2 linked regions of the Arabidopsis thaliana genome follow. The protein of the gene in region 2 interacts with the protein of the main gene of each other region in a pairwise test. Each region holds a gene or a part of one and is shown on either strand. Other genes may lie near its edges.

The links. Proteins that work in one complex are often made in the same cells at the same time.
Region 1: the proteins of AT1G11510 (region 2) and HMG interact in binary tests that used the Arabidopsis thaliana proteins (3 or more experiments, as listed by UniProt).

What each region holds. Positions count from the first base shown.
Region 1 is NC_003074.8:10,782,938-10,789,229, reverse strand, and holds HMG (high mobility group), read right to left. Parts: upstream 4,343-6,292; 5' UTR 4,277-4,342; coding exon 4,223-4,276; intron 3,937-4,222; coding exon 3,751-3,936; intron 3,675-3,750; coding exon 3,569-3,674; intron 3,479-3,568; coding exon 3,342-3,478; intron 3,264-3,341; coding exon 3,180-3,263; intron 3,099-3,179; coding exon 3,004-3,098; intron 2,917-3,003; coding exon 2,808-2,916; intron 2,673-2,807; coding exon 2,586-2,672; intron 2,488-2,585; coding exon 2,395-2,487; intron 2,316-2,394; coding exon 2,118-2,315; intron 2,031-2,117; coding exon 1,885-2,030; intron 1,795-1,884; coding exon 1,647-1,794; intron 1,567-1,646; coding exon 1,459-1,566; intron 1,378-1,458; coding exon 1,195-1,377; intron 1,037-1,194; coding exon 958-1,036; intron 860-957; coding exon 732-859; 3' UTR 501-731; downstream 1-500. Other genes in the region: CYP81D11 (Cytochrome P450 superfamily protein), read left to right, coding at 1-466; AT3G28720 (uncharacterized protein), read right to left, coding at 4,891-6,292. UniProt on the Arabidopsis thaliana protein: Component of the FACT complex, a general chromatin factor that acts to reorganize nucleosomes. The FACT complex is involved in multiple processes that require DNA as a template such as mRNA elongation, DNA replication and DNA repair.
Region 2 is NC_003070.9:3,870,847-3,875,044, forward strand, and holds AT1G11510 (DNA-binding storekeeper protein-related transcriptional regulator), read right to left. Parts: upstream 2,084-4,198; 5' UTR 1,991-2,083; coding exon 932-1,990; 3' UTR 877-931; downstream 1-876. Other genes in the region: AT1G11500 (transmembrane protein, putative (DUF1218)), read left to right, coding at 1-85, 172-398, 496-724; AT1G11520 (pliceosome associated protein-like protein), read left to right, coding at 2,183-2,773; CXXS1 (C-terminal cysteine residue is changed to a serine 1), read left to right, coding at 3,672-3,749, 4,026-4,148.

The sequences.
Region 1 (6,292 bases), on a different chromosome or scaffold from region 2:
ACTTCCTTACCTTCAGCACATTGTGTCAGAGACTTTACGGCTTTATCCGGTGGCTCCAATGCTTTTACCCCACTTAGCATCAGAAGATTGTATAGTTGATGGCTATGACGTTCCACGCGGCACAATCATCTTGGTGAATGCATGGGCCATCCATAGAGATCCAAAGTTATGGGAAGAGCCAGAAAAATTTAAGCCGGAGAGGTTTGAGAAAAAAGGAGAGGATAAAAAGTTGATGCCATTTGGGATTGGACGACGATCTTGCCCTGGTTCAGGGCTAGCTCAACGGCTAGTGACTTTGGCTCTTGGATCATTGGTCCAATGTTTTGAGTGGGAGAGGGTTGAAGAAAAGTATCTAGACATGAGAGAAAGTGAAAAAGGAACCACAATGCGAAAAGCTACATCGTTGCAAGCTATGTGTAAAGCTCGTCCCATTGTCCATAAGGTTTTAGATGCTTCTTGTCCATAACTTTCATCATACAGAACCTCTTGTATAACAATTTCGATAGAAACACGATCTGTTTTGTTGCTTCTTAGCTATGGCCTTACCAGAGTACTCTATATTTTGAGGTAAAGACAGGCTCTTCTTTTCTAGGAAGTAACACAAGATCTTTAAGGTCAAAGAGAAAAATCTGGTTAACTCCAAACAACTAAAGGTCCAACGTTTACTACATGCCATAACTTAGTATTGTAGGTAAATGAGATACTAGTAGAGAATGTTGGAGAATCAAAGTTTAGTTACTATCGGAATCGTTTCCTGAGTCCACATTCATCGGCTGAGGGTTCTTGTAATCACTGATCTCATCCTTGTATCGCTGCTTGTCGACTTGAGCCTTGGCTTCATATGGCTCTTTATCATCAGCTATACATACACACGGTTGGGGAATTAAAACACATTCACATGATAAAGTAAAACCAAGTAATGTATTTACTTTTGAAAAGGATCTTCAAATTTTTTACCAGACATTTGACGCCACTTATCTCCAAGCACCTTTCCCACCTCTCCAAATGCTATTCCTGGGTGTTCCTTCTTTATGTTCTGTTCAGTTCACAAATGGAAAATGACATAATCAGGAATGTGCTAAGTTTGTCTGTTAATTGTTTGCTCTCATGTATGTAATAGACCGAGGATACTCCATTTCGCAACTTAGCCTACATCATAGAGGTAAAAGTAAAAGAAAGGAGAGAAGAACTCACATCTCTTTCCATTTGGGAAAAGAACATGAAACCAGACATTGCTCTTTTTGGTGCGTTGGGATCCTTCTTCTTCTTCGGCTTCTTCCTCTTACTACTGCCTTCGTCTGCGGCTACAGTTTTCCTCTTAGGAGGCAATCCTTTCGATGACGAAGCCTCTTTCTTAGGTTCCTTCTTGATAGATTTCTATAACAAGTCAATGACAGGAAGATATGAGAAACAAATACTGCTGCTGAAAGAGTTCGAATGAATGCGACAAAAGTTTACCTCTTTTATCTCTCCTACACCGCCTTCACTAGCATCAGAGTCGTCCCCGCCAGAATCATCAGTTGGTGAACCACCATCATCATCCTCACCCATAACAAAGTCTTCGTCCTTCATAAATTAAAAGTCTCGATTATCAAACACATGATCATTAGAATATGAAGTAATTCGGTCAGACATAAAGTACTTGCCTCCTCATCACTCTCATCAGCAGCTTGGTTTCTGATACGCGTAAGATGAGGGTCAACAGCATCATCATCATCATTATCCCCAAGAACAGCAGCAACACCGTCTGCGGTACCCGCACCTCCAAGGTTCATAATCTTCAAACCCTTAGAGCTGCAGCAAGAAAACATAAGGAATATTCACCACAAATCTTAAATGCACTCAGTAAATATAGACGGAGACAATGAAATAATCCGCGCTAACCTTATGAAGGTATAGAGATTGTGATACTCATTTCTTTGAATGTTACGGAACAGATGTTCATGGTCAGTTTTCAGTCTTATGAGAAGATCAAAGTAATGCATGTTAGCACCACCAGCAGCATGCCTTTCAAACTCGACATAGTCAATCTAAAAACGAAAAAAAAACAGGTTAGAAAACCCAACTCTATCTCAAAGCCTATAAAAAATCTCCAATCCTTAATAACCATAATTTACCTCATCGTGAAGTATAAGCGTTGGAGGTTTAGGTAAGAAGAAAAATCCCTTCTCGAGTGGATAAAGAACCCCATCTTCTGCCTTGAGAGACGATTTCACTGCAAACCCATCTTGGGAACTGCGGAACTTCCCAGGTTTAGTGATCTTTGCACCAGACAGCCAACGCAACACGGTGGTGAATACTTCATGAATGAGACCCTGAAAATTCATACAATTCAGCGTATGTATAAATTTTTTTATTCAGGAACAATAATGTAAGTGCAGACCAGACAGAAACCTTATATGATCGCTCCAGCTTGTCCTTGAACTTTGTATTCATAAGTTCATCACTAATTGACAGTTCACTTTCGACAACGGTGTCTGTTTCAAACTGGAGAAGATGCAAAAACAGTTATGTAAATCAGAGTAAAAAAACGAAAATTATACATAGAAAATTGAAATGGAAGGAAAAATGTAAGTAATGTTTACCTGCATAACAATGTGGGGGTACATTGTCTGACCTTTCCGGATTGGTGGGTCTAGAGAGATAACAACAAACGTGTGTGGTTGGTTTGACTGCTCAGGCATATAAAAAAAAATACGAACTCAATTAATGTGAACACGATTCAGTGATCATAATACGATAATCCCTTTAATCTGATGACTGCTAACATAGGTAACTGCCCTGAGATATGCTTAAAAAAGAATTACCTTTGGAAGCAAGAACAAACGGACAACGCTACTGTACTGGATTTTAAAGTCATTAGCTTGTCCTTGCAATCGTAAGAAAGAAAGGTGAAGTTCCACATTGTACCGACCCCTGTGATAGAAACAACCAAATCATTTAGTCATGACAAGATGAAGCCATACAATAGTGCAACAAATGTTTAAGTAATCAACTCTTTACCTGGGTGTGAGGATTGCAATACTCTCAAATGTGACGACCGCATCCTCAACTCCAGGACTAACATCAGCCATTGCAACGATTGTGTCATTGAAAACCTGAGACATTCTTTTAGCATCAACAGAAAAAAATATATACTTGAGGCACATACATATAATGAAAATAGTTTGGGAACTCACTTGAGAAGGTGGACGGTTTTCATCACCAACAAACTGAGTGTTGGAATTAGGAATATGAAAACTAATCTCCATCAGCGAGTCTTTCTGTAAACACGTAGAATATAAATCAGTAAATGTACATACATAACAGCCTAGAGATTACATATCAAAAGAAACCAGTACCTCATTAGCACCAGCAGTATCATCAACATGAAACTCCAAAGTAACATCATTTTTCCCTTGAAGCTGAGTCTGTGAAACATCAGCTAAAGATACTTCAAAAGCTTGTTTTGATCCAACCAAAAAGGTTAGTGTATTCCCTACACAAAGAAACAAAAAATTCTCCCTTTAGATCCACAAATGAAACTAGACAACCACAAGTAAAGCCTAAAAGCTATAAGAACTCTCACCGTGTAAATCCACCTCTCCCCAATTACGACCACTAACTGATAATTGCTTCTCATCCGGTGTTTTTCCATAAGAACTTTGGAAAAAGCTAGACAGACTTGGAACATCCTACAAAACAAAGGAATCAGAACAAGCACAAACATTACAATATCAAATCAAATAAAAAAGATATACACACACAAACCTGATCTCGAAATCCAACGAACTTGTAGTACAATCCATCTTTGGTTTTGACTCCCAATTGATTACTCTTTGTCACTTTCGTCCAACTAACACTTACAATATCAGATCTATCAACTTCCACAGCTTTTCCACCACCTTGTTTCTTCCATTGAATTCCTCCAGAATTGATTTTAAGTAAACCCGGGTTCTAAAAAACCAAAATTGAAACCCTAATTAGCCTTAAGAAAACCCTAAAAACTACCGCAGCTTTAACAATTGTAAACAAGAAAACAACACAACTGAAAAATGAAAGCGACAATCTTTTTTTTAACCCTAAATTTGACTCATTGAGTTCTTTAAGAATCGAGCGGCGGAAGCAAAAGGGGATACAGAGAAAGGAGATTAGGGTTTTCGAAGGAAGAGGAAAAGGTGAAAACTTTGAAGGAATTGAAAGATCTTGAGAGATAGAAGGAGACAGAGAGAGAAGATGGTACCTTTCCACCGCGACCGCTGAGAGAGATATTATTGAAGGAGTGGCCGTCCGCCATGGTTTTCTGTTGAGAGACACGAGAGAGACGAGAAAGCGAGAGCGAAAGAGAGAGAGTGATTTTTTTTTTTCCAAACTATGATATCAACTTTTATACATAGACACTCAGGCGGTTTAATTTTGGGAAGAAAACCAATTTTCGAAAATTAGATTTTCCGGTTTAATTGAATTTTTGAGTTTTTGGTTTTGCAGATTTGGGAAAAAGACCTTTATCAAAAAACGGTAAAAACAGAAGGTTGTTTTGAGTTTTGGATTTTTTCACATTTGGAAAAGAAACCTCTTATAAAACAGAATTTTATATCAATTATGTAGGCATGCGGGTTCGGTTTACCAAACCGGTTACTTCGGTTTTGTTTGGCTTTGGTTAGGAGGGGAAAACCGGTCTAAGGGTATGGAGAAGTGATTATTGAAGGAGACAATAGGAATGTGATGGAGCTATTCAAAATAAATAGACAACCAAACAGAGGATCCGAGCATTGTCTCTATTGTTCAACATTACCAAATGGAAACAAGCTCATAATAGTAGTACATGTTGTATTAACCTCAAAAACCAAACTATCAAAGTCTTTTTATCCAATGTAATGACTATAAATTACCCTGCATTGCTAGAATTCTTCAGAACTGTTTTCGTTTGTTCCTAAAGAGTCTATCTCTTTTCGAGAACACGTAACCAACAGCCATTAACCCGAATCCCGACACTGAAACAGTTCCCCATGGGAACGGTGGATCTTTGAAACAGTTGAGACTCGCTTCTACCCGTTGTGACGCGAGGTACACTACTGAATGCACTGAGTACAAGTCGTGTGAAGCTGATCTTAAGTAGAACAAAGCCATCTCGAACTCATTGTGTGATAGAGCAGAAACCGTTTTATCCAGCTTGTACTGCATAAGATTCCACCTTTGCATGAACTCAGAGTGGCGATTCTGTTTCCGTAGGATCACATCTCCTCCATATGCAACCGCGGAATCGATAACATCGATTGCACTTGTGATAGTTGTGTTCAAAGATGTCAAAATCACGTTTCTCTTAGCAGCATCTTTCTGAACAAACGATAGAGACGAGATATCAGAGAATGGTCCAAACGGTGTTTGCCCAATGCTCCATGTATAATCAACTAGAGTTGTGTTATGTCTCGGGCTCCATGTCAAATGAGTAGAAGATACACCCCACATACTCTGCAGAATGGAACCAACGAGAGGTCGTTCTAAGTCTCTCGTATGAACAAACACATGACGCCCGTTGCAAGTATAATCACTAACCGTTTGAGTTCCTCTAGTTCTAACAGCAATCACCATATCTCTAAAAGCAACAGACTGATGATACCGATCAAGCAACAAAGGCGTATTGATATCCAAATCAAACACATAAACAGGTAAAACCCTAGCAAACTCATTTCCTTCTTCTTCAACAATCCCCGCAACTCTCCTCAACTCCTCAGCCGAATCAGTCAACGCCCGATGCATATGCTTAGAATCCAAATACTCACTCACAATCAAAGTATAGTTATCAAACAAAAACCTAGAAGTATACGAATTCATCCCACGAGATACCGCAAACGAACAAATCGAACATTCTCTATAATTCACACTATAACTCTTAAAACTCAACTTCTGTTCACCTAACAACAACCCACCACTCTCAGCTTCATCCATAAACGTTCTCTTCACAAACTCCAAATCTAACCCACTCGAATCCTTAACCTCTGACCCATACACATGAATAAACTGAACCACCAACGTATCCTCAAAGTACACAGGGATTCTCAAAGAAGGAACAATCAAAACCTGATAAGCATTATACACCAACGAAGCCAAATCCGCAAGTAAAGCTTTTTCTGATTTAGGACGACCATGTAAAGCAGCTAAAGGATGAAACTCACCTCTTGGTAAAACACCATCACCAGATAAAGCAGGACCATAATCTACAGGACCAGCAGAGAGATCAATCCATAGATAACGATCTTTACCAGTCCAAATACTACCTAAACATTTCGTAAACCCAGCTGATGAATCACCA
Region 2 (4,198 bases):
TGGGTTCTTGGTTTCTGTTGTGATCATATGTGCAGACATTACAGCTACAGTCCTCGGGATCGAAGCCGAGATTGCTCAAAGCAAGGTTCTGTTTTATATTAAGAGTGAAATGTAGTTTATTTTATTTTAACTACCAATAATCTTTTCTTGTATTTGATGTTTATCCTTCAGGCACCTCATCATCATCATCAACAACATTCAAGACATTCAGGTTCTGGATGTCGAAGAAGCCCCAGCGATGGAGCATTTGCTGAGGGAGTAGCTGCAATGGTGCTTCTGTTTATTGTCCATGTCCTAGCTAATGTGCTTGGAGGCTGCACTTACATTCGCTCTAAGCAAGATTTCAAAAGAGCAACGGCGAACAAGATACTCGCTGTGGCTTTCCTTGTTCTCTCCTGGTAATGGAAAAGATAATAGGTTTTTGGATTTCATTCAAAAGACAAATTTGAATTATGTCAGCTGTTTTTGTTTTTGACATACCTTTGTTTGTCTTAGGATCTTTTTTGTTGTCAGCTACTCAACGCTAATGATAGGAACATTAGCCAACTCGAGAACGAATCGACTCTGCAGCTTGCCACATCGTTGGTTTTTTCTTATTGGAGGCATATTTTGTCTAGGACATGGAGTGGTGACTTCAGCATATTATGTTTCAGCAATTGCTGCTAAAAAAGAAGACAAAGAGAATGCGCAACAAGAAAATCTAGCAAATAGAAGCCGCGCATAACACGTCTTCTTCATCAAGATACACAAAATGTTTCATCTGTAAATAAACTTAAATTGCTTCAAAAAAGCTTCCTTCCATTTTGATAAATCCGCAATATTCCAAAATAAACTCTTTCAAGAATCAATAGAAAACTAAAATATAATATAAAAAAGCCAAGAGTTCTAAACAAAAGAGGCAGAACCAAAAAAACAAAAACCATAAATATATCTAAGCGTTTGATCCAAATGCTTCAGATATCTTTGATAGCACTTCAAAAAGAAAACCATGCTTCTGCAAAAAGAACTCAAATTCCCTAGCCTGCATCGCTTTCCACTGCTCGTAAAATCTCTTCATATCCTTTGAGGCAAGCTTACTCAATCCTTGTTGAGCAGTAAGTTCATCCATGCCAAGACCCACTATCGATCTAACAAGAGAAGACTTTGTAAAAGAGACTTCTCCTTCATCCATCACCTCATCTTCACAGTTGTTTTTACTGTTGGGCAAAGAAGAATCAAGTTCATGCTTCACAGACTCAAACTTACTACTCTTCTTCGACTTCTCATTAGATTTCATACCAGATGCAAGAGCCATTCTAATACCTCCCCAAACTAACTTAGACAATTCAAAAGCCTTGCGATCATGAGGTTTGACGAAAGTAGGTTCAACACCATCCTTGGCTTTACCAAGATTGTTCTCATACTTCTTCTTTAAAGCCCTAAGCTTTTCCATAAGCTGATTCTTACTAACATCAAAACTAATAGATTTTTTCACCAACTCATAAACCTTATTCGTATTACTTACCCCTGTATCTTTTTTGTCATCAATCAGACCTTGTAAAACCACAATCTCATCATCTTCAGTCCAAAGTCGCTGGAAATAAGTTTTCTTCGTCTCTTCTCCTCCGCCACCACTCTTCTTCTTCTCCTCTTCCCCTGAAACCTTCTTAGCCCTCTTCACATCCATAGACACTGCTGCTTCATCCACTTCAAGAGAACGTTTAGCCCCAGATTTCTCGGAGGTTTTCACCTTCTTAGCCCTCTTCACATCCACAGGATTCGTCACAACTTGATCTTTCTTCTTCTCGAGTTCAGAGTCTGAATCGGTTTCTTCATCCGAACCAGATTCGGAATCGGAAACGGCGTCGAGAGTCGTCTTCAAAGGTGATGGGTTTTCAGAGGAAACGTCATCTTCATCATCCGAAGAAGAGTTTCGTGCGATTTCTTTACCTTCTTCGTCGCTTGAAGAAGCACTCGGCGGATCTTCTAACGGATTGAAACGTCTCGACATTGTTTTAGGGTTTATGGGACTTTGGAGAGACTTAAGAGGTTGAAATTGAGATTTTTGCTTTGCTGCCTTCACCACTTCGTTCTTAGGGTTTATATATATTGAACAAAGTGTCTCTCTGTTTTCCAAAAATAAATAATCAAAAAATTATTGGAAAACGTATAAAATTATTTATTGTTTTTCCTCTTTTTTTGCATGACGTTTAGATTTCCGATTTCCTTCCTTAAAAATTTGGAAATTAGCTATATTGACCAATTTTATTTCCCTATATTTTATCTCTTACAAATAAATGTTAGATCTCTCTTTTCACAACAACACCCGAATATGACCGCTCATTCAATCGTCGCACACGTTGATAGCGTCCTTCCCAAGAAATCTCGTGAGATCGACCGTCGCCGCCGCAGACGGAAGCGGAAGAAGAAGAACAAAGCATCTCAGGCCGATGTAGATGCAATGGACGTGTCAAAATCTCTGTCAAGCACTCCTACTGGTATTGAGACACCGGATGCAATTGAACTTCGTAAGGAACAGAGAAAGGAACCTGATAGGGCTCTATACCAGGTACTTGAAGAAAAGGGAGAGAGTGTTGTTGCTCCTGGAACATTGCTGAGAACTACACACACATACGTTATTAAGACTGGTACTCAGGACAAGACGGGAACCAAAAGGGTTGATTTGCTGAGAGGGCAAAAGACAGATAGAGTGGATTTCAGTTTACAGCCAGAAGAGCTGGATGCTATGGGAAATGTTTTACAGTATGAGGAGGCAAGAGAAGAGGAGAAATAGCGCAATAAGCCAGTGGACTTGAGTGACATGGTCGTCGAGCATGTGTAGCAGAATAGTAGGAAGAGGAAAATGCATGGCAAGGAAGAGAAGAAAAAGAAAGATTTCAACTTCTGAGGTGCGTTATGGAAGAGACAAAAAAAAAAAGATTTTAGATTCTGGACATGAGACATAGAAAGAGATTCATGTTCCAGAATTATTAGTCTTGAGTAAGAGATCTTGAGTTTTTAGTCTTAATGCTTATTAAAAAAAAAAAAAAATGTTAGACCACCAATGATGTAAATTTTTAAATAGGTGATTGCATCATTGTGTAAACCTAATATTTACATTTTGAAGGATTTGGTCTTTCTGCAGTATGTAAGTTAATTCAATCCCCTTATTATTCTGACTTGTAAGGGGATTCAAACCCCATCAATGGTTTCTAAACTTAAGTTTCTTATTTTAGAGAGATAAGTTTTATTATAAAAAAATGTGTGGGTTTTTTGATTAATGAAGAAACCATCTCCAAAATACTTTATATAAGAAATTTTGGAGAGAATTTCTAAATATTTAAGAAACCCACATAATTAAATAATATTATTTTTGTTGTTTTAATGTTAAGAAACTTATATTTAGAAACCACCAATGAAATTCCTCTAAACATTAACATTGCATATAGTCATAAAAAAAATATCTATTTTCTTTTTGGTTCTCTTTTTAATATAGCTTTCTTGGTCAACACTTATTCTTAAATATCTTAGAAATTAATAAATTATTTCGTAACTCGTTGAAAGATAACTGGCCACACTTTTTGTGTATGACTCAGACATAGTTTTTGTCCACTCGGTCCCATCATGCAAGTAGATAAACACTGAATCACCAAATCTTGTTTGAGATTTAGAAAAAAAGGAAGCTCCAAGAGATGGCAAGAGTTGTTAAAATCGATTCTGCAGAGTCATGGAATTTCTATGTGAGTCAAGCCAAGAATCAGAATTGTCCCGTAAGTCTCTCTTCCTCTTATCACTTTCGTTTTCTAGTAGCCAAAATGAAATCTGATTTAGATCCAAGACCTATGAAAGAATCAAGATCTTAGGATTAGAGTTTTATGGAGAATTTGATTTACAATTGGTTAAATCCAAATTGTGTTACTCTTTAAGATATGAAGTTAGTGAGAATGAACCATGAATATTAATGTTCAGGATTGTGAATGAATGGCTCTGTCTTGTTTGTTTATATGAATTACCAAGAACGGTTGTTCCTTTATGGTTTTTTGCAGATTGTGGCTCATTTCACTGCATTATGGTGTATTCCTTCTGTGTTTATGAACTCCTTCTTCGAAGAGCTTGCGTTTAACTATAAGGATGCTCTGTTTCTAATAGTTGATGTTGATGAAGTTAAGGTAAAACTACTTATGTGTCTCTCTACTTGATATGTCTTTCTACTTTGGCT